Diceros bicornis minor: one gene and its partners. The protein of the gene in region 3 interacts with the protein of the main gene of each other region in a biochemical or structural test. Links are inferred from orthologs where the notes say so. Each region holds a gene or a part of one and is shown on either strand. Other genes may lie near its edges. The genes, in order: GTF2E1, SUPT5H, CDK7 and GTF2H3.

The links.
Region 1: of the proteins of CDK7 (region 3) and GTF2E1, one has a biochemical effect on the other in vitro, tested with the Homo sapiens proteins (3 studies listed by BioGRID, with this or other methods). The link is inferred for Diceros bicornis minor from reciprocal best matches to the Homo sapiens genes CDK7 and GTF2E1.
Region 2: of the proteins of CDK7 (region 3) and SUPT5H, one has a biochemical effect on the other in vitro, tested with the Homo sapiens proteins (2 studies listed by BioGRID, with this or other methods). The link is inferred for Diceros bicornis minor from reciprocal best matches to the Homo sapiens genes CDK7 and SUPT5H.
Region 4: the proteins of CDK7 (region 3) and GTF2H3 form a complex in vitro, tested with the Homo sapiens proteins (2 studies listed by BioGRID). The link is inferred for Diceros bicornis minor from reciprocal best matches to the Homo sapiens genes CDK7 and GTF2H3.

The regions. Positions count from the first base shown.
Region 1 is NC_080754.1:21,984,055-21,991,910, reverse strand, and holds the start of GTF2E1 (general transcription factor IIE subunit 1), read right to left. Parts: upstream 3,163-7,856; 5' UTR 3,088-3,162; intron 3,063-3,087; exon of another isoform or gene 2,903-3,062; intron 1-2,902. Other genes in the region: RABL3 (rab-like protein 3), read left to right, coding at 3,374-3,419.
Region 2 is NC_080773.1:13,442,651-13,449,928, reverse strand, and holds the start of SUPT5H (transcription elongation factor SPT5), read right to left. Parts: upstream 3,137-7,278; 5' UTR 3,049-3,136; intron 2,792-3,048; coding exon 2,717-2,791; intron 1-2,716. UniProt on the Homo sapiens protein: Component of the DRB sensitivity-inducing factor complex (DSIF complex), which regulates mRNA processing and transcription elongation by RNA polymerase II.
Region 3 is NC_080759.1:8,285,393-8,292,931, reverse strand, and holds the start of CDK7 (cyclin-dependent kinase 7), read left to right. Parts: upstream 1-4,463; 5' UTR 4,464-4,562; coding exon 4,563-4,628; intron 4,629-4,983; coding exon 4,984-5,043; intron 5,044-7,539. UniProt on the Homo sapiens protein: Serine/threonine kinase involved in cell cycle control and in RNA polymerase II-mediated RNA transcription. Cyclin-dependent kinases (CDKs) are activated by the binding to a cyclin and mediate the progression through the cell cycle.
Region 4 is NC_080774.1:6,853,862-6,861,052, reverse strand, and holds the start of GTF2H3 (general transcription factor IIH subunit 3), read left to right. Parts: upstream 1-4,097; 5' UTR 4,098-4,152; coding exon 4,153-4,165; intron 4,166-7,104; coding exon 7,105-7,184; intron 7,185-7,191. Other genes in the region: EIF2B1 (translation initiation factor eIF-2B subunit alpha), read right to left, coding at 1,471-1,587, 1,698-1,834, 2,938-3,039, 3,855-3,867. UniProt on the Homo sapiens protein: Component of the general transcription and DNA repair factor IIH (TFIIH) core complex, which is involved in general and transcription-coupled nucleotide excision repair (NER) of damaged DNA and, when complexed to CAK, in RNA transcription by RNA polymerase II.

The DNA of each region.
Region 1 (7,856 bases), on a different chromosome or scaffold from region 3:
AATTCTCATCCCTGGCTGTAAAGCAGAATCATCTGCAGGGCATTTAAAAATATCCACCCTGGGCCCCAATCCCAGAGATTCTCTTTCAGCTGGGCTGGGAGGGCCAGATCAAGCAATTATCTTATTTTAAAAGTTCTTTGGGTATCTCTAATACACAGAAAAAGTCCCTGACCACTGCTCCAGACAAATCTGGTGCCTGGCTATTACATATACTGGCAATGCACATCCCGCATGGGGAGGACCCGGTGCCACTTATCATTCAGCCTGTTTCCTTTGCCTGAAACACCTTAGGGGGCCCTTAAGATTTGAGCAAGGGAGCGACATGAGGACTCCGCAATCCAATTGTTTTGAGTTTTGAATCCCAGTTCCATCATTTCTTAGCCCAGGACCCTTGAAAATTCTCAGTCTCAGTTTCCTCATATATAAAAAGTGATAAACAGCACCTTCTTCATAGAGTTGATGGATGGATTAAATAAGATAATTCGTGTAAAGTGTTCTGATTTGAAAGCAGATGTAAGGCTGATATAAGAGTTCCATTATGTATTGGCATTCAGAATAAGACCCCCTATTTAGGAAAGTGACTCTGACAACAATATGAAAACTGGACTGAAGTAAGTGAAGATGCAGGCACTGTGGAGGTATGAGGAGATATAGCAACCAAACCTAAGCTGCGGAGGAGAGCACAACTGTAAGAGGACAGGATGAATGAAACTTATTATCGAAACAAAATCAAAAGGACCCAATAATAATGGAAATGGAGTAACAGGGTAGGAAAAATTTAAATAGCTATTTAGGGGTGTTTTTTTTTTACAATTTTTTTATTATGGTAAAAAACGCATAACATTTACCAATTAACCATTTTTAAGTATACAGTTCAATGGTATTAAATACGTTCATAAGGTTGTGCAACTGTCACCACCATCCATCTCCGTAACTCTTTTCATCTTGTAAAAGTGAAATGCTATACCCATTAAACAATAACATAGTTTAATATGTTATTAAACAATAACATGTAGCTATTTGCTTTGAGCCAGTGTATCCAGAAAGAGAAAAGTACTAGTATGAGAAATAGGTTAACACCTGAAGAGGAACAAGTTTGGAAGAAACGAGGTATTCAACTTTTAGTTGCTTGTCTTTGAGGAGATACCACAGAATATTCTGGTGAAGATGTCCAGCAGGTAGCTGAACAAATGAACCTGGAGCTCAGGAAAGAAGTCATGCTGTGCCACCTTGTTCAAAATCTGTGTTCTAAAATCCTCCTTCCTGACCACTGCGTTCTCTCCTCCACCACTTCTACTTCCCCACTTATGCTGAATCTCCTCCTCAATCTCTGGATTTCTTAAGTTACTTAGGTCAGAGGTCTCAAACTGGCATCCTGTGCCACACTGTTTAACCCAAAGAATGTTTTGAAAATTTTCTGAATTACAATTACATTGTCAACATTTAAAAATCGTGAGATTTAACATAAAATTCAACTTTCAGCTCCTCTTGAAAACTGGAAATATCTGAGGAAAAACGTGAAGCCATGCTACCACATGGAAACAATAAGCTGAAGAGCAGTCGACAGTTTTAAACAGGGAAGGAGCTTGGCTGGCCTCTGGAGACTTTTGAGTGTGTGACTTCTCAGGGCTAGCCCTTGGGAGATGATGATCAGTCATCTCCCAGCCTCACCTATCTCCCTACCCAGCCCAGACCCCAAAGGCAAGTTGGTTTTGTTTTTGAACCATATGCATTCTAATCACAAAAACATTTAGGGCCGGCCCCGTGGCTTAGCGGTTAAGTGCGCGCGCTCTGCTGCTGGCGGCCTGGGTTCGGATCCCGAGCGTGCAGACGCACCGCTTCTCCGGCCATGCTGAGGCCGCGTCCCACATACATCAACTAGAAGGATGTGCAGCTATGACATACAACTATCTACTGGGGCTTTGGGGGGGAAAAAAAAAAAGAAAAAAAAAAAAAACATTTAAGGACTACTGTGTACCAGGCACAGAGTTGGAGAAACAATGTTGAAATGAATGCATTCTCTGCACTGTCTACTCTTGTCAACCTCACCTCCAGACAGACTGGCATTGTCGCAATTCTATGAGCCACACATGCTTTCCCCACTTCCAGGCCTTTGCACATGCTGTTCTTTCTGCCCCCAAATCTAAGCCCAAACTCCCTTCTCCTAGCCATCCTTCATATCTCAAATGACATTTCCTCAGAGACCTTTCCAGATTCCCGAGTAGCTTAGTATGACTCCCTTCCACACGTTCCCATAGCTCTTTCCCGTTCTTCCTTCAGGTGCGTAGACTTGTACTTTTCTCCATGTCTATCTCTGAGACCAGGGGCTTACAATAGTTCACCAATGACTTTCCAGCCTCCAGCACAGCTAGGCAAGTACTTCCATAAAACTTTCAACAGATCCCCTAAGCACGTGTTCTTCTAACATGCCCACCCTGCCAGCTTCCCCCAATTCACTGCCTCCACTGCTGCTTCCAGAGTAAAAGAGAGATAGGCTATTGGAAACCCTCTTCATTAACTTCAAATGGTTTTAAGCAGGAGGTGACTGGATCAAATTCGCGATTTTAAAAGATTATGCTGACTGCAGGGTGAAAAATAAAAGGAAAAAGGAGTGGATGCGGAGAGCCCAGGTAGATTATTTCAGTATACCACTATTCCAGTTCTAGAACCTGGATTCTATACATCTAACTGTGGTTTTCTCAGTTACCATATTTCATAGTAGTCTCCACGCCTTCCTACATAAAGCGGCTATCACCGCGAAACCTCCGGACCAGCTGCCCTCCACGAGCCCGGTTCAGTAATGTTCACTCCTCCCCACTGCGAGCCCCCGAGGCCCTAGATTCCCTCGGACTCTGCCAGCTGAGTCCGGGGGCCACGCTCGTCGCAGCCAAGGCCGTCCTACCCGAGGTCGCACACGGGGCCGCTCCGGGGTCAATGGTTCTTTGGAGGACCAACAAGAGGACCAAGTCAACAGAGGAGCTAAGAGGAGGAAGGTAGCTAAGAAGAGAGGAGCGAAGAGAAGGAGAAACCCTGAAATGCGGCTCCGGGTCAGGGAACCGAGAACAAGGAACAGGGAATAAGGTTTACCAAAGCGAATCCTCGAACACTCCCACTACAGCTTCCCTCAGCGCCTCAACTACCGGCTTAAAGGAGCCACGCCACCCGTGCGACAAAGAAAACGCATTATTCCTGCGACCAGCTTTGGAAACCACAGCTACTCTTAACCAGGCGGGCCAATCAGCACAGAGAAGCCTTCAATCAAGACAGTCGCGCTCCGATTGGCCAATGAAATTGAAGGCTCGGCCGTCCATACTCAGCTCTGATTGGCCTACAATCCCGGAACAGGCGTTAACTCCGGCAAGGTTGTGGCAAGATGGCGTCCCTGGATCGGGTGAAGGTACTGGTGTTGGGAGACTCAGGTGAGCGGTTTAACCCAACTCTGGGGCTCCCGGCACTTTTGAGTTATTCGATAACCTTCCCGCTTCACTAGTCCCTCCCCTCCAACTAACTGGCTCCGGCCTGTGGCTGAAAGCCCTCTCAACCCTCAAGACTACACTTCCCAGAGGACTTTGCTCTGACGCAGCAGCGGCGCCGTGTGGGTGGGGGGCTTAGAGCCCCGGCCCTTCTCCGCCTTGGAAACTCTCCACGTTGGTCTCCTTGGCGACTAGCGTGTATTGTCAATTCCTTTGTTTTAAAAGATATGCTCACACTGAGTACTGTATTGGGCGTCGTGCAAAGGAGACAGAAGTTAGGACTATGCCCTCAAGAGATTTTGTTCCTTAAGGAGGTCAAACGGGCACTAAGAAGGATGACACTTGTCAACCGAGTAAAAATCACTACAATTTAAGCCTCAGATATTTATTTGGGCAATTAGAATTGCAGTTTGAGAGACACAGATTCAGATAGAAATCCAAAACATGTTCCGCTAGGGAGTAAAAGTCAGGGGCTTTTAAAGGCAAAGGGAGGTTGTATTACAAAGAGTTTTAATTGCAGTTGGAGGCAAAGAGCTAGTCTTGGCTAAACATTGACTGCTTATTGATTCTATCTTCAGAAAGTCCACATCCTCAGTCTTTGCTACCTGGTTATCGATTCTCCTGCTGACTTCTCAAACAATTGCTTGTAAAACAATTGCAGTTTTGGCCCGGTCCAAAGGTTTGGCCCAGTCCAGTGTTCAAGACAGCAAAGCAGTTTTTCTGGAAAGGCAGCTCCAACTCTAATGGCTCCACTGTAGTCAATTTTTACACACTGTTCCAAATGCGTTGCATGCATTAACTCATTTAATCCTGAGATCAGCCCTATTACCCTATTTTACAGGTGAGAAAAGTGAGGCAGAGAGATGTAAATGATAGAACCAAGTTGAACCCAGAGTCCCTGTACTTTATACTAAGCGATATTATGAAATGAGATATTGGGTGGTAGTCCTATTTTACTCTCAGCTGGGCTTCTTTATTTCTTTGTTCTCTTTAATCGTAATTGAAAGTCCATTATGTGCTAAGTTGTAAGAAATAGAGAAATTAAGATAAAGACCATATTATGAAGCTAAGCCCAATTTAATCCTAGTGTTAAAATTCTTCTTTTGACACCTTGGACATTTGAAAACTAGAACTGAAGTCTGCATTTCTCCCTCCCCCCTCACTATCTTCTCTTTCTCACTATAACCTCCACTCCTATGCTCCTTAAGAAATTGGAATAAATGCTAGCTGTGCATTTCATAGATTTGCTTTTCTGGAGTTGACCTTTGAATGTGTGCTGTGAGCAAAGACGTTGTGCCAGATGATTGGAAGTGGAGAGGACATACCCCAAAGAGCTTGAGAACTAGCCTTAAAGAACTGAACAAAGTTGTTAGGGAGAGGAGAAGGTTAAGAACGTTTTCACGTTGCCTGAAGACTATTTGTATTGTGAAAAATTTTACAGAGAGCATTGTTTAATATTCCCTTAAGAAAGTTGCATTAGGAAATTCTATTGACCTAATCCAATTTGTGTCAATTCCAGTTCTTTAGCTTGAAGTGGTGATGTTTATTTAATAAAATTACTCAGTTTTACGGATGAAGAAAGTAGTGGTAGTTTGAAGAGACTTGGCAAGAGTATCATCAAGTAGGATTTAGAACTGGAATCCAGAGCTAACATGGTTCTTTATGATATGTGAAGTGGGTGTTCTCACTCATCTATAATTCCCTTTTCCATTGCATCTAACGATCCTTCCATGTTACATATTGTTGGAACTAGTCGGTTTTTCTTTTTTTTCCTCCAAAAATACTTGAGTACCTATTACATAGCAGGCACTGTATTAGGTGCTGGGGTTATAACTGTGACATCAATGCATTACATAACAGAGTTGAATTGGCTGCTGCATTAAATGTAGAAAAGTGATCAGGCAATTAGTAAGCTTTTTTTTTTTCCCCATTATAGTTTAGTTATAAAACAGAAGTCTCAGCCATGCCCACCAGGAAAAGTGATTAATCTCGTCACACATTCAGTGATGTTAAGCTATGTGCCAAGTCAGTTACTGTCTTTTTATCAGTTCCCTTTTAACAGTGATTTGCTATCTGACAGGTTAGAATATACTTTTTACACTTCATCTGCCTTTGTATTCAAACTTAAAAGTTTACTTTTGAATAAAGGCTTATTTCCCTCATGAAATTTTGAGGATTTCACAAATTTGTAAAGGAATGACTTGGGACTTAGAGATTTGTTTTTGTATCCCATAGAGATATTTGCTAATTTAGTTAGGAATCATGAAAGTGTCAGTAATCCGCAAATACTGTTTTCTCTTTGTTCTTTCAGAGATAAGAGATGAGCATAACACATTACCAACAATTATATTTGGAGCTGGTATTTATTTCATTATATTGGGCCTTTGTCCCCCCAGCAAACCAAGTGCATTCTTTTGATCTAATTTAGTTTTAATGGTGAAAACACAGAATCAGAACCTCCCAAAATTCTTAAATAAATAAATAGTTAGCCATTGTTCCTGGTACTTCAGTTGTTCTTACTGTTGAGAGTTCATCCAGTGTTAGATAACTGTTATCACCCAAAGTTAATTCATGGAGAGCTATACAGTATTACTGCATAAAGATGTTTACTCTGACACAGTTAAGCGTTACTAGAAGCTCAAGCCTTGCATCAAGCTGATAACTAAATGCCTAGATATATGTCTCCAACATAAACCTGCGTGCAAACACAAACATCAACAGCATGCCCTGAAGGTCACAGATGGAATGCAGTAAATACAAAGACAAAGCTAAGTTTGAGTGCACAAAAATCTTAAATGTCTGTATGTAAAAAAAGAAGAAGAATAAAAGGGAAACCTGGAAAATGTTTCATCAGTTACAGGAGACCGCTAATATATGAGGAGGTTGTGTAAACTGATAGCACTAAAACCCAGTAGATAAATGGGCAGAGCACATGAATAGATAATTCATGAGAGAAAGACAAGTGATTAGCAAAGATGATCATAATGTGTATCTTTACCAGAAGGTAGAGAAATGCAGACTAAAGCGAGATGTCCCTTTTTTTCTCTTATCAAATTAACAAAGATGAAAAAGCACCTACACAATAGTGTTGAGGTACAACAAGACCTGCAGGCCTATGTGTATGTCTGGTGGCAGAGTAACCAGATGAAAGCTGTCAATATATATCAAGAACTTTAAATGTGCACTTCCTTTTACATATTAATTTCACTTCTGGGAAAGTATACTAAGGAAATAATTTTAAACATTGAATAGAAATCTTTTCTTAGCATAGTAAAATTTCAAAACACCCTAAATATCTAATAATGAGGAAGTGGTTAAGTAAATTGTCATGTCAACTCTCTGAACTACAATGGAAACATTAAAAATGTTTAGGAGGATTCTGTAGTAACATGGAAAATTTTAGTCACTAAATAAATACTAATTAAGGCCATGTTCTGAGTACTGGAGATAAAAAGATAAGTAAAACCCAGTCCCAGTCCTCAGAGAACTTAAACAGAGTGAATAAAACCTATAAACAAACAAGTGCAATAATGTGTTTAAGTGCTCTGTAGAAAAATGTACAGGATACAGTGGAGACCCAGACGATGGTGGATGATGTGCTCAGTTCTACCTGTGTGGAGTCAGAAAAGACTTTATAACTAGAATGTTGCTGAGTCTTAAAAATAATTCACCAGGCCAACAGAGGGGAAATGGAGGGGGAGGATGGAAAGGATATTCCAAACAGAACCAGCTGTGTAAACAAAGGCTTATGTTTTATTGTTGCTAAGTACACTGTGTATATATTCACGGTAACAACCTGCTTACAGAAAAACCCTGCTTATGGAATTAAATAAACCTACATGTTGACAACAGTGCTCTTCAGGTGATTTTTTCCTTTTTTTAATACTTTCTAGATTATCTGTAAATATAACTTTTTATAATAAAAAATAAACGTAAGTGATAGTTGCATACACACACAATGCACACAAAGGGATGGTCTAAATTTTGATACAACTAGTGATGCATCAAGATTCACCAATCATGCTTGTCATGATGGTATCTTAAAATGCTGTTAATTGAATGAGTGACTACACATGGACGTACAGGGAGAACTCATTTCCTTTCCTCTTCATACAGATCTCAGAATGCTAGCCCTAGCATTAATAACTAGATTGCCCTCAATCCAGGAGCTCTAAAAGAAAATAAAATGCTGCCCTAAGATAAAGGGCCATGTTGTAGAAGGAGGGAGTAGAGTTGTTCTCTTTTTCCACAGGGTAAGTCTGGGCCAAATGGTTGGCTCCCTTTTAAAAATCACTGTGTGGAAGAACTCAAGTGTCTTAAGTATGGAATTGTGAAATATGAGTCCCTGTTACTGACAGTGTTCAAGCACAATCTGGAAGACTA
Region 2 (7,278 bases), on a different chromosome or scaffold from region 3:
ACCTTGTCATCATCCCCCTGGCTCAGTCCCAGCAAAGCCTTCTTTCCAAATCTGGCTCCTCACTCCCTGAGGACAGAGCTCCCACTACTATCTCTCTGTTATCTCAGGATTTGAACGCGCTCTTACATCATCCATTCTCAGCAGCCCCTGAAGGAACCATCTATTTATAAAACCACCTCCACCCCAGGACAGAGAGCTCCATGAGGGAGGCTGTGAACCCAACACGACAGGAACTCAAAAATACTTGTTGAATGAATGAGTGAGCAAGTTACTGGGGCTGAGAATGGTGAGTCAGCCGATTCCCCCAACAGTGGCTCATAATTTGTCATCCCTGTCTGTCTACCACAGGACCCGGTCCTTCAAGGAGGCTGTCTGAAAAGACCATCCAGTTCTATCTCTGGCAGTGAGGGCAGGCCTCACACTGCCCCTCTGCCTCACACGCTGACAGCAGATGAGCTAGCAGGTAAGTCAAGAGCCTGGTGTGGTGTTGGGGAAGTGAGACTTACACAGTGCGAACCAGATTGCCCCAGCCAGGAAAAGGAACCGGGGATCCTGGTCTCATTACCACCAGGCTTTAACCACAAGCAGTGTCTTGAAGCCATGAGTCAGAAACCAAGGACCCAGCGCTACAGCTCAGAGCAAAGGCCCTTCCTGGCATCCTCCCACTTCCCCCCACTCCCCGCCACAACACCCCAATTCCTCCAACTCTTCACTGGAAGCTGAGAACGCCCCAAAGGGCACAACAAGGATTGACAATCAAATGCCCACAGAGGGCAAGCAGGCAACCTAAATAAGTGCGGCAGCTCAGGAGAAACCCACAGCACTCGCCGTCTACCTGATGTTTCCCAGGACACAGGTATGTGAACTCTTTCGTTTTCTTTTTTTTTTTTTTTTTTTGTGAGGAAGATCAGCCCTGAGCTAACATCCATGCCAATCCTCCTCTGTTTGCTGAGGAAGACTGGCCCTGGGCTAACATCCGTGCCCATCTTCCTTCACTTTATGTGGGATGCCACCACAGCTGACAAGCCGTGTGTCGGTGTGCGCCTGGGATCCGAACCCCGGGCCGCCAGCAGCAGAGTGCGCGCACTTAACTGCTACGCCACAGGGCCGGCCCCTAAATCTTTCCTTTTCTTAAATCTGCCACTAGGCAGGCATGATGAGAAATGGCCATTGATATATCCTGGGAAATGGAGAAAATTCCCAGTTCTAAAGAGGGCTGCCACTTTTTGAGCAAAGAGCTGCTGTGTAGAACAATCCTGGGTCTCAGGTTGCTGGCTCCTCCCATTTTCCCAGAAAAGCAGGGATTCTTGATTTTTTACACGAAATTGCCCTTACAAGTGTTGGCAACTAACTTAAAAAATATGTTCAGGGGCTGGTCCGGTGGCCCGGCGGTTCGGTGTGTGCGCTCCACTTCGGCAGCCTGAGGGTGAGGGTTCGGATCCTGGGCGTGCACCGACACACGGCTCCTCAGGCCATGCTGTGGCGGCGTCCCATATAACGTAGAGGAGGATGGGCACAGATGGTAGCCCAGGGCCAGTCTTCCTCAGCAAAAAGAGGAGGATTGGCATCAGATGTTAGCTCAGGGCTGATCTTCCTCACACACACAAAAACATGTTTATGGAGATCAAAGAAGACATCTATAATCATCGTGTCCTCTCTTTATTGGTTTGTAACTGCTGTCTACCAAATGTAAACTCCATGAAAGCAAAGATTTGCCTTGCTCCATTCTCTCCAACACCTAGGAAGTATCTGGAAGACCGCAGTAGATGCGCGAACATTTATTCGCTCAACAAACAAGTCAGAAATAAATAAAAGATATTAATAGTTAACAAAAGAATATGGGAAACCAGATATGCCCCAGGACACGTTTGTTATTTGGTTCCTGAAACAGTGACATTCAACAGACCCAAAGCCACAGAGAGCCTTTCAAAACATTAGATCACATCCCTTCTTTGCTCAACACCTTCTCACGAATGCGTCTCACTCAGTCAAAGACCAATTCCACACCGTGCCCCTCAACATATGCTCCGTCTCCAGTTACTTCTCTGTTGCACTCACTTTGATCCAGCCAAACTGGACCCCTTGTTACCGCCTGAACCCTGCAGACATGCTCCCAACTTTACACCTGCTGGTCCCCCGACTGGGACACCCTTCTTCCATAGGCCATGGCTCCCTCCCTCACCTCCAATGATCTTTTTTTCAAACATGGCCGCCCAGACTCGCTCTGATCACGCTATTTAAAGTGTAGGCAGGCCTCCCTATTCCTCTTCTCCCCTCTCCTCCATAGTAACTGCCAGCTTACCGAATGACTTACTCATCAGCTATGTTTATTTACATGCACGAGGGCAGAGATTTTTCAACTGTTTTGTTTACTGGAATAGCCCAAGGGCCCAGAATTGTGCCTAGCACATAGTAGGCGCTAAAAATACATTCCTAGAAGGACTGAGCGTTCCTGAATATAAAAACTAAGAGTGAGCACTTACTATACGTCCGGCCCTTTAAACACACCGCCTGTCATCCCACGTCCCGGAGCATCCCTGGCCTCCAGCACCTGTGCCTCTGCTTGACTTGGGTTTCCCTACTTTCTCGCCCCCGACAACCTGGAAGCTCCCAGAGGCCAGAGCTCGTTCGGAGCCCCTCCGAGCTGCCCCCGGGGCCTTTCTGCCCCGGTGCTGTCCCCGGGCGCAGGGCCTCCTCCGGCGTGCCAGCCACAGACCTCGGCCTCCTCGCCGTCACTGCTGCGCTCGCTGTCCTCCTCCTCGGAGAAGTTGCTGTCCTCGCTGTCCGACATCTGCTCTTGCGGGAAAAGACGGCGGCCTCAGCGCGTCCCCCAGTCCCGAGCCCCACCCCGAGCCTCAGTTTCCCCGCCGGGTCCCGGGGAGAAGAAAAACCCCTCAGCGCACTTCCGGCAGCCTCGTTCCGTCAACTGTGAACGCGAAACGGGGCCCCCTACGCCACCTGCTACACCTCCCGAGTCCCCGAATCTGGCTTCTACGCCTCCCCGGCCCCCGGCCACCCCCAGGCCTGCCACCACGGCGTGCGACCCACCCCTCACCGCTCCGGCACCACCTCCGCCCTCGGCAGCAGCTGCTGTTCACACGACGCCTAGTTGGGACTGACGTGCCCTCTCGCGAGAACCTACCCCTTGGCCTCGCCTAACGCGAGATTTCCGGGACTCGACCCCGGCGACGCACTTCCAGGACGCCATCTTGAGAGTGGCAGAGCTGTCTTAATGCAGGGCGTGGAGCCGACATCTTGAGAGGGTCAACGCGCGCAGCGTTATTCCCCGCTCGCACCCGGCCTTTTCCAGCCAGGAATTCGTGCTTGAGTTTAGTCCAGATCACTAACGCCATGTGCCAAGCCGTGAGCAGGCAGGGAATTAGCAAATAATAATAATAATAAATTAGCAAACCAATCAGACTTTATCTCACGGACCCTCTAAAGCATTCCTAGGAGGGAAGTACCCCCATGCTGCAACCGAGGAAACCGAACCTCTGAAAAATAAACTGGAAAGCGGCAGACCCATGACTCCTCTCCAAGTCTGGGTGACCCCAAAGCCCTTGTTTTCCTTTACAGTCTAAGTTGATTTAAATGTGGATTTATGTATTAGTAATTATTTGTCAGAGAGGTGCCAAAGAGGACGAGGCAAGAGGAAGAGAGATGAAAAATTAACCTGATGAAGGAAAAAAAAAATCAGAAGCTTTTACAACACACTGCTAAAATTTCTCGCATAAGCAGTGAGACACCTGGATTCAATTTACAGACATTTAATATGCACCTAGTTAGTTACAGGGGTATGTTGCGGTTGGGTCGGCAGCAGGCTCACAAGACAGCTACCAGGGGGTAAGTATACCCCAGGTGCATCTCTGCATAAGCACACACTCCGGGATCAACAATCCTAAATTGAATCCAAGACAGACTGGGGAGGGGCTGAGCACTCCATAGAGACGTGTCTCCTTCCATAAGCTTGGTTCCTTTAAACAGCAGCTCTTTAAAATAAGATTCCACATATCAAATGCCTATTATGACACTGCTCCAGAAAGACATTTACTCCAGAAAAGAGAGGGAAGGGTAATAGTGCCCCCATAGAAAGTTCTTCTTTGATGTATCAGTGGTTCTCAACTCTCAACCCTGGCACCACAGAAGAACACTTGAGAAGATAAGATGAGAGAGATGCATAATGGCCGCAAACTGGAAACAACCCAATGTCCACCATGAGGAGAATGCAGACACAAGTTGGGGTACATCCATACAACCGAAGAGTAACAGACTACTGGTACACGCATGAATGAACCACAAAAAAACCACGCTGAGTGAAAGAAGCCAGACACTAGGATATGTACCGTATGATTCCATTCATATGAAACTCTGGAGGAAGCAAAACTAATCTATTACAGACAGAAAGCAGATTAGCGGGTGTCTAGGACTAGAGGCGGAGACTGGGAAGGGGCATGAGGGAATGCTTGGGGGAATTGTGGAATTTTTGATGGAAATGTGGCAATGCGTATATGTTTGTCAGAACTCATTGAAATGTACACTTAAAACGGATGGCTTTTACTGTATGTAAATTATACCTCAATAAAGTTGACTTTAAAAATATAGATGTTCAAGATCCACCAGAGACCAGTTATCAAATTCTCTGAGTGGGGGCCTGACCATCAGTATCACGTGAAAGTTCTCCAGGTGGTAATTATTTGCGGTGAGGGATGTGAGCCACAAGACTCTCCCTGTCCTCAAGTGGTGGGGATGAGGTTAGGAGACACCTGTGCAATGCTCTGTTCCTTCCTGGAAGAGGAGAGAGAAGGGAGTATCTGAAAGAGAGGGAAAATAGAGACAGGTGGGTGCCAATTTATCCAACCCCCCCTGCCCCAAGAGGTCAGAGACTTCAGGCTTTGGATCTCACCTTATTTTCTTCCTTCTCTCCTCTTCCCCTTGGCTCCTCGGGCTCCAGGGGGGGCATCATCTGTCCTAGAAGGAGAGGGCTTAGGGTTTGGGAGGTAGGGCTGGAGACCAAGTCTCTCCCTCTCTCTACCCAGCCTCTCCAGGAGCACCAGGGAGCCTGTGTCCTCCAAGCTCATGTTGAGGGCAGGCGCTGAGCACAAGCCCCCTGTAATAACTCCAAGAGTTTGGCCAGAAAGAGAGGGACAGGTCTCTGGGGATGTCCTTCGCAGGGTGGGCAAGGGCCCTGGCCAGTCCCCCACATCCGGGACCCCAGGGCATCCAGCAGACGCTGTAGCCGGAACACAGCAGTCCCCACAGATGGGCCCTCCTCCAACCCTATAACAGACAGCTCCAGCCGGAAGCAGCCTAGAGTCTCCGCAGGACACACCTAGGGGGACAGAGTGATCTGGTGGGCAAGGGCCTGATCCCCACTCCCCACCGCCAGAGTTTCTAACTTGTGGCCTGGGACAAGCCCCTTCACCTCTTTAGGCCTCAGTTTCCTCATCTGTAAAATGGAGCTCTGAATACTCCCTACCTTTAGGGCTGACGTTAGCTTGTACTGTACCTGTGTAAATTAGAAAAAGACACTCCTTTAAAGCACTTTTTTTTTTTAAGTTATTCCTTTTTTTTGTGTGTGAGGAAGACCAGCCCTGAGCTAACATCCGATGCCAAGCCTCCTCTTTTTTACTGAGGAAGACTGGCCCTGGGCTAACATCTGTGCCCATCTTCCTCTACTTTATATGGGATGCCGCCACAGCATGCCCTGACAAGCGGTGCATCGGTGCGCGCCTGGGATCCGAACCGGCAAACCCTGGGTCACTGCAGCAGAGCGCGCACACCTAACCGCTTGCACCACCGGGCCAGCCCCTTAAAGCACTTCTAAGAGCTGATTTTGTTAGAACAAGATAATTTACTGTCATCTGCCAGAAATTGACAAATATGTCTGGGATGTGAATATTGTACATGTGGGATCCTTGTGCAGGGTACAACCTTCACATCCATACACGGAGGCCCTGTCTACCTCATAGGGTCAGTGTGAAGAGTAAATAAGCTAATATACTTAAAGTGTTTAGACCAGTACCTGGCACAGAGCAAGTGCTATTTTAAGTGTAGCTATAATCACCATCATCATCATTTGCTGTTATTACGAGCCAGTCACTGTTCTAGGTGTTGGAAACAGCAGGGCACAAAATATATTTGTCAAGACTGGAGGCTGGGTCAGGGGCTGTACTGCCAGAACACCAGCCCTCAACATATGTGTGTTTCAAGCCTAGTGGATTCTCTAAACTTCCAACTTCAGTAAGGAGCTAATGAAATACTCACCGAGAAATCATCTGGGGTGTAGAGAGTGCCATCATTTTTGTTTCCCTACAATTTTGGGGTAGGCAGGAGAATCAGATCTTGGAGGGGGAGAGCCTGACCCCTCCTCAAACATGTCCCCCACCCCACCATCTCCCTGCTGTATCTGCTGGCTCCCCCCTCCCCCTTCCTCACCAGCATCTTCATGAGGGCAACGAGGAAGTAGAAGGGCTCCCGAGGGCAGAGGGGTGGTCCTAGGCCCCCCAAAGGCCACATCAGCAGGAGGATGGTCCAGAGAGGCCATATGGACACCCTGCCCATCCCCAGGCTTTCTCTGGTCCTGGGCCAGCGTCCTGGAAGCAAGAGGTACAGAGAGATGGAGCAAGTTGGAAGACTGTAGTGGATGAAGGGAAGTGCCCCTGTCCATGAACCCCCCAGTTCCAGCTCCACTCAATCCATAGACACTCAGGGAATGTTCTCCAAAATGCCAGAGAAGATGGTGATGCTAGAGTGGGGAGGGAGGGAGTCAGAGGGCTCCCTGACCCCCTTCCTCCCCAGGGAAGATACAAGATTTAGTAAGGGTGTGAGGATCAGCCCAGAAAGACTGGAGAGTTTGGAAGCCTCCCCTGTCCCCCAAACAGGCCTGTAAGGCAGTACAGAGTGTGTGAGTGTGTGCATTCTGTGGCCTGTCTTCTCATTGGAAAATGCCTGTGCTGGGCCTCATCCATGTCTGCAGGTACATTGGGGGGGGGGGGGGCTCTGCTCTCTTTTCTACTTCTATTTCTGTCTCAAGTGTCTCAAAATCTCCATGCCGGCCTGTACCTGTCTGTCGTCTTTCTCTGAGAGTTGGCCTCTCTGCCTCTGAATCTGTCACTTGTATTTTCTGGGTCCATCTCTGACTGACCTGTTGTCTATTTTCTTTCTCCTCTTCACCGTCTGTTCCATCTTCCTTTCTCCTCCATGTGTGCCTGTCTCTCTCCTGTGCTGTGTATCTGTCTGTCTGTCCCTCCAAGTCAGCCTCTGGGTGCTCCCTTCCTC
Region 3 (7,539 bases):
CTAATAAATATTCTGTAAAAAAAAAAAGAAATATAGAAAATTTAGATGGACACCTGTATCTCCTAATTTATGTATCTTGGTCAGCTTCTCCACAAGCTTACCTAATGGTTTATATACTTTATACTTATTAAAGTATACATTTTTAAATGTTAGCCTATTAATTTACTCTTGATTATCAAGTATTACCAGTGTTGAACTATTAAAAGCACACAATCTCTCGTAAACTATCACAGGTTTCCCATAATTTCACTTTTCTTTCAGTTTCTGTTTAGATATGGAAAGAATTTATCAGGCAAAATTGCTGCTTTCGGGAAGTGCTTTTCCCGAAATTGGAGGAGGATCAGTGAAATAATGACTCCATTATTTGCTCTTAATTCTCTTAACGTTTTTCATTCACAAATTTACTGCAGTATAATTGGCTTAATAAGCGTATCCTACTGTAAATGATACAAATATAGGCAAAGTAAAACAAGTGGCTTTGTGGTAATAAGACTGGGGTGTTAACACAAAGATTATTTGTAACCTATATTCAGAAACAAATGTCAATGGAAAATGGAAAATAAATTAAGAAATCAAGTGAATATAGCATAGGAATAAATGTTTGAGTAGAAATTGCAATTTATTATGTTTTGAAGAGTGTTAAGATAGTCTTGTTCTTTGGTTTATTTTACTTTTTGATTGAGATCATGTGTGCAAATCCTGATAACCATTAATTTTCTCAAATTTACTGTCTGAAAGCCTCATAAAATCAACCTAAATATTTACCTTATTAAGGCAATTTATGAAACTTTATTAATAGAGTCTTCCTGTGCCAAAGGTATGTATTATTGTCAAAGTAAAGCCTAACAAAGCTCAATAAATTCTCTTCCACACCTTTAATGATTTCTAAAATATGCTTTAAAGAAGTCATCCCTAAAAATAAGAGTAGATCATGAGCAATAGACAGAGTAGAACTGTTGTCAAGTACGTTTCTACATTTGCCCAGTTCCCTATGGGTTAATGTTTACTGTGTTTTTGTTTTTGTTTTTGTTTTTACTATTTTAGAGTTGATCTTCTCTTCTAAATTCTTTTTTCTGGCCTAGTATAAGCATTGGCAAACTTGAATATGAGGTAGGGGTTTGGTGCCGGCAATAAGCTGTTCTGGTGACTCATGAAAAATACATGATTTATGATTTTGTTTTTTAAGAAATTTATTTGGGAAATTTTCTTAAAAACTAGCACTATTCTCATTTTTCTCTTAGCTTTCTCATTTCAGTAAAAAGAAGCCTAGGACATTTTTTTTGCTTTCAGAAACAGAGTGGGTTCAAGTAATTAAGACTAGCTTGAGGGGCCAGCCCATGGCTTAGTGGTTAAATGCGCGCACTCTGCTGCAGGCCGCCCGGGTTTGGATCCCGGGTGCACACCGATGCACCGCTTGTCAGGCCATGCTGTGGCGGCATCCCATATAAAGTAGAGGAAGATGGGCACAGATGTTAGCCCAGGGCCAGTCTTCCTCAGCAAAAAGAGGAGGATTGGCATGGATGTTACCTCAGGGCTGACCTTTCTCCCCCCCCAAAAAAACGACTGGCTTGAGCAATACTATGGGCCAGCAGTTAGAAAGCCCAATACTGGAACTGCTTGCAGGGCACCTTACTACAGCTGCTGCCATGAAAGTCACAAAGAAAAAATATATCACTTTTACAGAATTTGTGAGTACAGGTATGGCAAAAAGGCATGTCAGAGGGAATTGCTGTCACAGGATGAGTTCCCAAGGAGGATGGTGTCATAGAAAGAATTCTGGCTAGGCTTAGAGTAAATAGCCTGTATTTTCATTTAGAGGTTAAGCACTTAAATATATGTAACCATTAGCAAATTGCTTAATTTGTCCAAGTTTCAGTTTTCCTCTCCGGTACTATACAGTGTGACAGGCAGGACCAAATTAGTGTATTGCCCATTACTTTGTAACAAATCACCCCCAAGCTTAGTGACTACAAACAACAATAATCAATTAATAGCTCATGGTTTCTCTGGGTCAGGAATTCAGGCAGACACAGTTCTGTTCAGTGTCTCTCATGAGGTTGCAATCAGATGCCAACTGGGGCTGCAGTTATCTAAAGGCTTGACTGGGGCTGGACGATCTACCTCCAAGGTCGCTCACTCACGTGGCTGGCAGGTTGATGCTGGCTGTTGGTAGGAGGCCTCAGTTCCTCTCCACAGGGCTGTCTGAGTTAATTCATGACATGATGGGCTGACTTCTCCCCAGAGCAAATGATCTAAGCATGCAAGGCAGAAGCAGCAATGCCATTTATGGTCTAGACTCAGAAGCTGCAGACACTGTCTTCTGCCATATTTGATTGGTCACACAGAACAGCCTGTTTTGTTGTGGGAGGAGACTACACAAGTGCATTAATACCAGAAAGCAAGAATCACTGGGGCCATCTTGGAAGCTGGCTACTACCAATGTGTGAAAGTGCTTTGTAAACTGTAAAATGCTATACAGATGCTGGATGGTATTTTATATATACAATGATCTAATGAACCCAGAATATCACCTAAACACTGCCTTTGTTACCCTATTTAAAATGTCCCCAAACAGGAATTTACTTGTCAGCAGCATGGTATAATGGAGTGATTATCAATTCATATGGCATGGCACACTTGGGAACCTCAAGCCTCACAGGTGTACCATCAAATTTAGCTCATTGTTTAGCTTATTTCTACTACAAGTGAGGTTAGATTACTGTTACAGTGATGTCTTTCAGAAGGAACTTTGACCCAAGTCATGTGACACCATGTATCATTAGGTATGACTTGCCACAGTTAAGAGATATAAGTGGTAAAAGATGGTGTGTTTTCTGCAATGTATGAGAATTTTTCCCATGAACATATTAGAGCTCAATAAAGACCCAAGTAGTGACAAAGAGCTGGAAGATAAGCAATAGTAGTTATGTAATGGCTAACATAAAATGAGCACTGTCAGACACTATTCTAAGGGTTTTTTGAAGTGTGAGGTCATTTAAGCCTTGCAGCAACACTATGAGTAGTTCCTATTAGGAGGAAACTAGGAACAGCAAGGTTAAATAATTTGCCCAAGTTACACATCTAGTGATTAAATATTTGTAAGGCCAGTATTCAAATGCAAGTATCTAGATCCAGAGCAAGGACTCAACCTTTACTCTATTACCTTGATCAAATTGTGTCTTGGTATTCCGATGCCTTCCCAACATACCTCTGAAAATCAGGATTCTCAATTCTTAGAAACATCAAATGCTCCAGAGCTCAAAACCTTGGAATTATCCTGTTTCTTCCCAACAACCCATATCCAGACTGTTAGCAAATCCTATTGGCTAGAAGCCAAACATGTAGCACTTAATATAGCCAACTGGATTATTACAATAATTCTCTAACAGGCCTTCTTGTTTTTCCTTGCCCTTCTAAGTCTATAGTTTAGTCTCTCACAACAGTCAGAGTGAACCTTTTAAAACATTGAGTCAGATCATATCACTTGTCTGCTCAAAACTCTGCAGTGGCTTTTCAGTGATATCTTTCTTGTACCACCCTGTTTAAAACTGCAAACCCTACTATCTCTATGCCCTTTCCCGGCTTTATTATGTCTATAGCACTTATCACTATGTATCAACACATATTTTACTTGTTTGTTTTCTCCTCTCATTGGAAGTCAGGGATCTTTGTCTTTTGGCCCGCTGACTTCTCAGAGTCTACAACAGAGCCTGGCACACAGTAAACAATATATATTCATTGAATAAATGAATTAATGTGTTTAAATTTTGATTTGTATGAAAATTTATGACAAAGTTGGGTACTGATCACCAGTTAACATTTAATTGAGCACTTACTCTGTCTAAACTTTCTGCATGTCTCATTTAATCCTCACAACCACCTATGATGTAGTCTATTATTATTTTCATTTTACAGAGTAGAAAACTGAAGACCATATGGTGTGTTTCAAAGCACAAAATTCTTGAGCTGACTTGGATTTTGTTTCCCTGGGTGTGCTTCTTCATAAAGGGAGTGGGCTAAGAATGCCTCTTGACCAGCCCTTAAGAACTGGGCACTCCTCTAAATAATCTGACATTGCGGGGCTAAGCGTTCTTAGTAACCGTGGCGACAGGACGCCCTCGAGCAACAACTAGAAAGCGAGATCAGGGACAAGGCCAAGCTTTCCACACTCATACACACCTATTAAAGCCCGAACTCAGAACATCGTATTAGAACGGTGACCCGTCCCCAGTCGTGAAGAAAATGTCTAAGTTACAGCGGTAACAGGGCGACACAGACATCCATCGCCGAAAACACGCCGCTTCCGGCACCAACAGGCAACCACGTGACAGCGCGGGGCGCATAGCAGCAAACCAGCGAGCCCGGCCTCGCACAGCCTCCGTAGGGCGGGCTCTGGCTGGACTTATTTAATGTCACTCACGCCCATCCCGGATGTGGGGGCGGAGCTAATAAAGCGTCGGAACCAGTGAACGGAAGTGGCTGTTGGGGGATTAAAGGTAGCTTTAAATTCCTGCTGTGTTCAGAACTCGGCCCTTTCAGCTGGAGTCGGCTTCGCGCGACGGATGGCTGTGGACGTGAAGTCGCGAGCAAAGCGTTATGAAAAACTGGACTTCCTCGGGGAGGGACAGGTGAGACTCTGGGGCGGGATTCGGAGGGCCCTGAGCAGAGAGCGCCGAGCCGCCTCACGCTGGCAGGCTGAAGTGGAAGCCAGAGGACTGGCCTGGCTGCTCGTTCCCTTTGGGCGAGGCTGCCCAGGCCCCCTGCCGCCCCGCGGTACGCCCGCAGGTGAGCCCCTGAGCGGCCCCCTCCTTTCCGCAGAGCAGGCTGGAACGGGACGTGGACTGCCCCACCACGTTTCAGGCCGCCGCGAGTCGGCTCCGAGAACCCTGGTTCTTTGCTTCGCCCAAATCTAAAAAAGTAAAAAGGCAACCACAAACAGAAAAACTCCCGCAGACTTAACGTTATTCCTGTTTTTCTCTCTAGTTTGCCACGGTTTATAAGGCCAGAGACAAGAACACCAACCAAATTGTCGCCATTAAGAAAGTGAGTTTACAGTGTGTTGTTTTCCTTGAGTCTTTTTGAAGACGTCTGTATGTGTGAGCTGATGGATGGCCGTTTTACTGCTCTTCACCGTGCTCTGCTAATGAGGAGTTACCATGTCACTTTCAGAGAAAATAGAATTTATTAGCCTCTTATGTTCCAAGGTGGAACTCGGGTTGAACTAGTTTTTGTTCCAATAATTGTAATTGAAAAGAAGAGGAAGCTATAAGTTATGATCGCTCTGTAAACTCAGATGTTGGCAAAGGGGACGAGTACTGCCTATCTGTTGGGTCCTCAGAGCTATTTAATATGATCTTTCCAGGTCACTATTTCTGCCTCACCTGCATCCACGGTGTGTATCATATCTGTATTTTCTGTGTAAAGATTTACCATGAAAGGCTTTCACCAGCATTAACACCATTGATGTGCTGCGTTTTTAAAAATGATTTAAGGAGCTTTCTTACTTGCATTCATTCAAGAAACTTCGGTCATATTTAGCTAACTTTCTATATGCCAAGCACTTTCACTTACATTTTTTCATTTAATCCCCAAAACAACCTTGTGAAGTAGGTAAAATAAATATCCCTGTTTTATAGTCGAGGTACCTGAGGCTAGAGAGATTAGGTGACTTGTCAAGATGACACAGGTAGTAATTGCTAAAGCTGGGCTTTAAATCCAGGTGTCCTGCTGCCAGGTTGCTTGCTGTTTCCGCATACTCTTGAAATCAATAACCCTTTCAAGAAGAGGCTGTTTTTCTCACATCTCAAGGTCTGTTGGTGGGGTAGGTAACCTCCACCTTCCTATTGTTCCTGTTGCTGCTTTGAATCTGTTTCTCCTTCAGATTCCCTACGTCCTTTGAAGCATATTGCCCTCATTCAGTTAACACCTGGCTCCTTCTCTTCGTCTCCACAATTATTCCTGACATTGTTTTTTCACTTTCTCTAACTTCTTTCATGGCGTTGTTTTCCAGCTTATGTTCTATAATCCAGTGCTATAGCTACTATAGCTACTCCCTTGTGCAACGCTTAACTCTCCTGACCCTTTCTAAAGTTACCTTTTCGACTCTACCCCCGGTTCACTATATTCTAGTCGCATTGACCTTTCTGTCCCTTGAGCTCATTAACTTCATTCCAGTCCCAGGATCACTGCATTTGCCTTGCTTTGTGGTTAGCATATTTTTCCTCTAAAACGTGGCATGGCTGATTCCTTTATCATTTAGGTTTCACTCAAATGTCTCCCCCACAGAGAGGCCTTCGCTGGTGGCTCTAGCTAAAACAGGTGTGCCTCCCTCCTTCCCTAGTGTTCTATGCCATATTTCTCTGTTATCTTCATAGCATTTATCAAAATCTTAAATCTTATCTATGAGTTTATTGTCTATTTACTTAGGACTGTACATTTATAGACACTCATTAAAAATATATTTACTTGACTGACTGATACAATCTTTTCAAGCTGTTGGCACATTTTCTGTAGTTGTTTGAAAGTCCTAGTAGGTTTTTTTGTTTGCTTGCTTTTAATATTAATTAGGATTTAGAATCCATCCTGTTTCTCTGTGATAGACTTTTACACTTTGAAGGTGACTCATGGTGGAATCTTCTTTTACGTTTAATTTTTATTTCAAATAATACATCTTTGTGGTTTTAAAAGTCAGTTAAGAGGCCAAGGCTTTTTAACATGCCTGACTCTTCTACTCCTGTTTTTCAGTCCTTGGAGCAATGACTTTCAATTCCTATAACTGTTTAATGTGGTATTTACCTCTATTTCTTTAAGTAATATGCTTGTATCGTTATTTCTTGAGTGGTTCCCACCCCTCATGCCCCCTGTCCCCTCGTTTTAGACATTATCTGTTTCCTACTATAAACATTGAGGATTTGGTGCTTGTGGACCTTCTGCTCCCAACTCTCATAATTTCTGCTCCCGTTCATTTACTAACATTTATGTGTAATTTTACCAAAAAGGAATAATAAGCTATTCTGTGTTCTTTCACCTATTGCATCTTGCTTTTAAAATAGCATTGATCTACCTTATCCTTTCAAACAGATCATATTGAATTTATGTTTTGTAAAAGTTTATTTAACCAATCCCCTATTGCTGGCCTTTTGGAGCGTTTCTCATTTTTCAATATTTGTCTCAAATATATGTATCTCAACAATATATAGTATTGCATACTTTTAAACTTCAAATATAAATGTATAAAATATTTTTCTGCATCTTGTTTTTCTGAATCAACATTATTTCTGAAATCTTGCACATCGATACATGTAGATCTGGTTTAGTCATGCTCACTGATGATTAGATTCTGTTATATGACTACACTAAAATTTGTCTATCCAAACTCTTGTTGGATAGACAAACTGTTTTCTTCAAAGTTTTCCCTTAATACAGCCCTTCTACAGACGTTCCTATGCGTGTGTGAGTTTCTCTAGAAAGTGTATCTATGGTTGAGACCAATTATGAATTACTGCTACCTAGAGAATACACAGCATCAACCTCACCAGA
Region 4 (7,191 bases), on a different chromosome or scaffold from region 3:
GTGTCACTCACAAGACACAAAGCCTTTCCTCCATTAGGCTCTTTGGGTTGTCTTTCCTATTTGTAAGACATGGTTTGGGCCTACAGGCACCAGGCAGGGAGCATAAGTAAATGCAGTGGGTTGGGTGGGGCCAGCAGCAAAGTAGAAAGGCTAAGCTCCAGCTGTCACCACATGGTCCACTGTTGCCAGATCATCCGATTTTTCTAGAGGAGCTAAAGATCCAATATTTAAATGTTGGCTAACTTAATTTTTTAAAAATTAATAAATACTGTTCGGGGTAAACAACCCATCTATGGGCCAGATACAATTTGCAGACATTTACATGTAACCTATAAGGAATAGAGTACAGAGGACTACATAATGCAGGATGGATGGACACAGCTCTCGAGCTCCTTCCTGGGTCTCACCTGAGAGCTTGTTAGAAATGCAGGTTCTCAGGCTCCGCCCCAGACCTGCTAACCCAGAATCTGCATTTTATAAGATCCCCAGGTGGTTCATCTGCATGTTCCAATTTGAGCAGCTCTGCTCTAAGTTCAGTCTAAATCAGCGCTCATGTGGGTGGGGATTGCACATTAGACTACCCCAGAGCAACTGAAACCCACAGAACACCGACAGCACGGCGAGTCTGCGGAAGGAGACGGCCTCAGCAAGAGGCGGTCTTTGCCTCCACTTGCCTAAAAATGGCTTTGTTTGCAACTGGCTTTTGTATAAGTTCCACTCACATCTAGTATGTCATTTATTTAATAACATACTTCAAAGGTTGGGAAGAGGTAATAAAACAGAGGACAAGATTTCAGAGTCAAAATGCAAGTCAGTCATTTTACAGTTGGTGGGGGCTAGGATGGCAGAAAGGAGGTAGGCTGCTGGGAGAGCCTCCCAAGTTTGATTGCCCTTTGGCAGGGAGAAGGACTTAACTTGCAGGTCCTGTCTTTCTTTACTCATAAACACCTGGCAGCTTTGCCTCTTGGTAACAGCATTTGAAAAGAAGTTAAAAAGAAAATCTCAAACCAGTGCTGACTGTCACCAGGAAGACAGTCGGTATCACCCAGTGACAAGAGCTGCTCTGTGTTGATTTAATTCAGATTAATTAATACATATCCAGTAATAATAATACTTATTTAGTAAGCCATCTTATCAAATCAAGAATCATCCATGCTGTCCCAGTGTTTTTTTCTGCCTGTTTAAAATGACAACCATCTATAATAATACCTACATTTATACAGTGCTTACCATGTGGCAGGCATGGTGCACAGCCCTTATACACACCATCTCATTAATCCTCACAACTCCTCTATGAGGTAGGTACTATTACTACCCTTATTTAATAGATGAGAAAACTGCAGCACAGAGAGGTTAAGTAACTTGTCCAAGGTTACACAGCAAGTAAGTGGCAGAAGCAGGATTTTACCCCAGGAGTCTACCTCCAAAGTCCTTGCTCCCAATTACCACACATGATGAATATCTACTCACCGCCCCATCTTTAATGAAAGTATGGCACAGATCTGCAATTTTATTTCTCGACAGTGATATTCTCCTGAGAAAAAGCTCTCCCCGCTCAATCATGGTTTCTTTACATTTGGAGTAATCCTAGGAGGAAAGAGCAAAATGAAGCGAACTGGAAGATCCGGGTAAAGCTGAGAATATTTGTAGCCAAACAGAGAAGCAAAAAGGTAACCCAAGGCGGGGTGGGGGCTCACCGAGTCTTCCAGGGAGGCAAGGCTGATGAAGCGCAGGAAGAGCTCCCCGCCTGAGGACACGGCCACGGAGGAGTCCACGCCACACAGGGTTTTTATGGCCCTGGTGAGATTCGCCCTCAGGCCCTGGAGTGTCTCCCCTGGAATGATCACATGAGGAATGTGACGTAGATTTCAGTATCACCGCCCCTTGATGGGTCTGCAGTTCATTCATTCATTCAACCAGTCTTTATTGCGTGTATACTGTACACCAGGCACTGTTCTAGACGCCAGAGATACATCCGTGAACAGGACTGACAGGGTCCCTCGTCTCCCTCCTTGTCTCCCCACTCCCTTTCTAGTGGAAGAGGCAGATAAACAAGCACACAAAAAATAAGCAAGTTAATTACAGATTGTAATGAGGATGGAGAAAAGCAGAATGATGAGAAAGGAGAAGCTACTTTAGACAGTTAACAGTGATGGCCTCTTGGAGTGGGGGCCATTTAAACCGAGACCTAAGAAAGGATCCAGCCGCACAGAGATCCAGTGGGAAAGGTTCTAGGCGCAGACCACGCCAATGCAAAGGCCTTGAGATGGGAACAAATTTGGTGTGAGAAACAAAGAGAGGCCAGCACCGCTGAAGCACAGTTCAGTGAGAGACAGCATGGAAGGAAATTAAGTCCCAGTAACAGGAGGTCTGTGAGGCGGGGCAGGTGAGGCCTAGGTGTTTGGGTGTTACTGTAAGGACAATGGTTAGACACTGGAGGTTGCCCTAGAGACATATGTCTTTAGGCCAGCCCTTCAGAATAAAGAAGGCTTTATTTTGCTTATACAAGATGTGATGCTATAGCCAGACGCTTACATTTAGGATGCTTGAATTAGTAGGCAATGACAACGAATGACATTAATACCACAATTTATTCTGGAACGTTCTCTGTGGCATCTGCACAGAATCTGGCACAAGTCAGAAGCTCAATAAACACTTGTACAGCTGAACTACTGCTCTAATTTAAGCTTCATGGTTAACTCGATATAAAATGGTCACTCTTGATTCGAAGTACATTTCATTTATAAAAGGGGACTCATTTAATGATACCTTGAGGGCTCTCTCCAGGTTAAAGGGAGGACTGAAATGCAGGAAGAAGCTGAGCTTGGGGCTAGATTACCTTATGTAGCCGCACATACATCTCTCACTTTCTACACGTCTAACAGTTATTAGAAGACTTTCCTAACGCCCAGAGTGTTTGAGGACGACCCTCTTTACCTTTATCTCTCTTCAAGTACTCCAGCAAAGTCCGGATGGCAGCCACTGCTGAGGCCATGTCAGGATCTTCTTTCATTTGAGACTTAAAGTATTCAATTAATTCTGGGAAGAAAGAAAAAAGTGATTCATCAAATTCATGTAGCAGGATGTAAGACCAGAGAGCTTGTCAATGACTGTTGACCTTACGAAGAAAACTAATTTTAAAAACACTTTCTTTTCGGGGTGTTTGGCTTCACGGGCATCACAAATGTTGGTGGGCATAGAGATGACACTACTATTTGCAAACTCTCTTTCTCTCTCATTTTGAAAAAGCTATCCGTGTACATACAATGGCATAAAATTTAAGCCTTACCGAATGATAGTGAAAGGTCCTTCTCTTCTTATTCTCGACCCCAAGTGCTGAGAGAATCCCAGAGTCAACCACCTTACCAATTGCTCCAGCACCCCTCCCGTCGATATGCTAAGTCAAGCCTACTCACCTACGTACGTACGTACATGTATGAGTATGGAGAAGGCCACCCCCCTCTTATTTTTTTACATGAAAGGTACTACATACATTAGTTTGTAGTACTCTACCAGATGAGCACATCAAATCTGCCCTTTCCTTTTGATTCTAGTACCAGATCCACTAGTGCAGGGAGTCTTACTCATACTTCACATATGAGGAAATCAAGGCTGTGAAGACCTGCACATTTCGTCCGAATCTCACTTTTTGGAGAAGGGCACTGGAAAGCGTGGGCAGAGGGGGTGTCTGGGGATACCCACAGGACCCAACCCTTGGATACAGGAGCAGCGAGAGGTACTGAGCTGTGACCAGAGAAAGCACATCCAACCGAGCAGCCTGAACTTGGAAAGCGAGCTCTCCCGGAGCCCAGCCGGGGAGACGCGCCCAGCAGGCCCGTCCCATCCCCATTTACCCCTGTCGTCCATGGTGCCCTCCGGACCCCGGAGCCCGAGGGGCCCGAGACGCCTGCGCCACCGGGATGGGTCCCACCACCGCGCGGGGGGGTCCGAGCCACAGGGACTGACAACGCGCGGCGCGGTTCCGCTCTCCACTTCCGGCGCTTTGGGGGGGGGGGGCGGGGCCGTGGGTACGGCGCGCGACCTGGGCCAAATCCCCTGCTCGTCACCCGGCGGCGCCGGAAGTCGGAGTGCACAGGTTCCGGGAGAGGCGCAGGACTGCTGCTGGCTCTGCGCTGGCGGACCCGGGCAGCCATGGTCTCAGACGGTGAGGGCAGCGCCAGGGGGGACCCGGACCCCAGGGCTACGCGGACTCGGACCGGCCATGACCGGCCAAATGGAGTATATATTTGGGCTGGGTGGAACGTCTTTGGTCTTTAGAGGAATAGCGAATGTACTCATTCATTCATTCACTAAATGTTTTTGGATCGCCTCCTGTGTGTCAGGCGTTATTTTATGCGCTGGAGAATACAGTAGAGAACGTGACAGACAGGGCCTTCGTGGAGGTTACGGTCTAGTGCGCGAGACAGACAATAGGCAAGTAAATAAAAATAATTTCCAAGGGTGACAAGAGCTATGAAGACAGTAAAGGGATAGTGTATTAGATTGTGCTTAGGGGACGATCAAGGAAGAGCTACTTGAGATACGAGTGCAGGGGACACCGTGGTCTTGGAACTAAGACTTGAATGACTATGCGAAGGTCCTGTGGCAAGTTGAGCCACGACATTATACTGAGAAGACAGAAATGGGGAGCCTAGGGGTAGGGGAAGGTGGAGAGACTTTAATTCATCCGTTATGCTACCAGTTGTAGAGGCTGATGTCTTAAAGGAAGGAAAAAGAGGCCAGAGTGGCAGGAGCAGGGTGAGCTAGAGGGATGAGATCGGAGAGCTGGCCAGGTGCACGGCCCTTGTGGGCCATGACAAAGAGCTTTATTTTATTTTAATGTTTTTTTTTTTCTGAGGAAGATTAGCCCTGAGCTAACATCTGTGCCAACTTCCTCTACTTTATATGTGGGACCCCACCACAGCGTGGCTGACGAGTGATGTAGGTCGGCGCCTGGGATCCAGACCCACAAAACCAGGCGGCTGAAGTGGAACCTGCGAACTGAACCACTAGGCCATGGTGCCGGGCCCTTGAGCTTTATTTTTAAGTGTATTACAAAGGGATTTTAGGGTTTTAAGCAAGGAAGTGTTACTATCTGATTCACAATTTTAAAAGGTCACTTTGGCTGCTGTGTGGAAAATGGACTGTGGGGAGCAAGAATAGACATAGGTCCTTTTGGAGGCTGTGACAGTTGTCCATGCTTCCTTTTATCTGTTTTAATCCCCGTAACGCCCTGTGAGGGAGGCAGACCTGGCATGGCCCCTGTCTGCAAAGAGGAGGTAGAGACCCAAAGAAGGAAATTCACAGGGTCATTGTGTGTGTCTGGATACACACCCCTTCTCACAGGCGACACTTGGTCTTTTTCTCAGGCTTCTTGGTAGCAGCAAGGAGTGGATGGCCCTGAGAATTGTGGGGTGGGGCCTGATGGAGAATGAGGCCAAAGGCTTAAGAGCTTAGGGGCGGGGGAGTGAGGGCCTGTGGGAGACCCGGTTATTAAGTGCCTTTTCTGTACTGGGCACTTTGTTGTATGATTTACATGTATTATTTCATCCCAGGATTAGCAAAAATCCTCATTCTTTGAGGAGTCCACAGTCTAGTGGGCAGGGTTGGGAAGAGGTCAGAAACACAACTAACTGTAAAATGAGGTAGTGAGTATAAGTGTCATTAGAAGAGGGTCAGTGCTGTGGGTGGTCAGAACCAGCCAGTGGGGCAATGAAAAGCCACAACCTTTCGAGTCAAGCAGATCTGTCTTCAAAGCAGGCCACTGGCTTTGCTACTTGCTAGCAGACCATGTGACTTAGAGCAAGTTACTTTCATTCGCACAATAGGAATACCGTATTTCATGTAATCTAAGACTATGTTGATTATGAAATATGCTTTTATTTAATATAACACTGAGAGAAGAATACCGCCACTCTTAATCGTCAGATGCCATCCTGATTTCAGCAACTGTTAAATGTGAAAAAAAAAAGGAGAGAGTACATGTTATAATTGATGAAAGACAGCAATGATATGTCCCTCGATGGGTTGTTGTCAGCATGGAATGGGATTATAGGATGACATATGCCAGTGCCTGATACAGAGGAGGCTGACGTTCCCGCTGTCCTGAGATGGGGGAGCCAGGACTGGTTGGAAAACTTGGGAGAAGAAAGAGGAAGCATTGGTTCGGAGCCTTGAAGAGTAAATAGGATTTGGATATGTGAGCAGAAATCAAAGATGGGTGGGGATTATCCTGACACAGGAGACAGGGAACTGCAGGAAGGAAGTAATGGGGGCAGGAAAGGCATTATTGCTTTTTGCTGTTAAATGAACATCCTGGGTTTTTTGTAACAGCGTGTGCTTATGGGTTCGTATGTCTGTCACCTCAGTAAGAATGTAGGCTTTTTGAAGGCTTGGACCCGGTATCCCCAACACCTAACAGTGATACTTAGTGTAAATTTTTGTTGAATGAGTTAATGTGTATAGTTAGCCTGTTTAGTTGTATCTGTCTCTTTGGAGAGCAGCCTAGTTCCTTTTCACAGTGAACTCTCCTTTACACAGGAGTTGCTTTTCCCTCTTTGGTGTTCACCTTTGTAAAATTGGTTGCTAATTGGACCCACAGTTGGCTGTGCTGCTGGGTGATTTGATGGACTTGAGGCCACATTGATTCCTGTTTCCCTTTTACCCCCGCATGCCCCAAATTCCACCACTAGTGATTCTCACTGCTGGTTAATCACTGCCTTCTGTCCTTGACCAGGCATTTAAAATGCATATGTCTTTGAGTTTGTTTAGTGTATGTTTATTGAGCATCCTCTATGGCTAGGCAGTGTGCTGGGAGCAGAGGTAAGCAGGGACAAAACAAACAAAAATTCCTCCTTGTGGGGCTCATCTTCTAGTGTGTGAAGGATGCAGTGGTGCAGAAAGCAGGCAAGGGCTTGCTAAGGGCCCCCAGAGCTTTACATCTTTACAAGAACTTGGCTTTCTGTTAATCTCATGGTTGTAGGACGATAAACATGGAAAGGCGTATAGTGATGCTTGATTTGGATTTAATTCAGAAATTGGGAATGTTAGCTTTAATTCACTTTCATGAAGCTAATGTTTTTTATTTTTTGTTAATATTTTCAGAAGATGAATTGAATCTTCTAGTTATCATAGTTGATACCAACCCAATTTGGTGGGGAAAGCAAGCATTAAAGGAATCTCAGGTAAGAT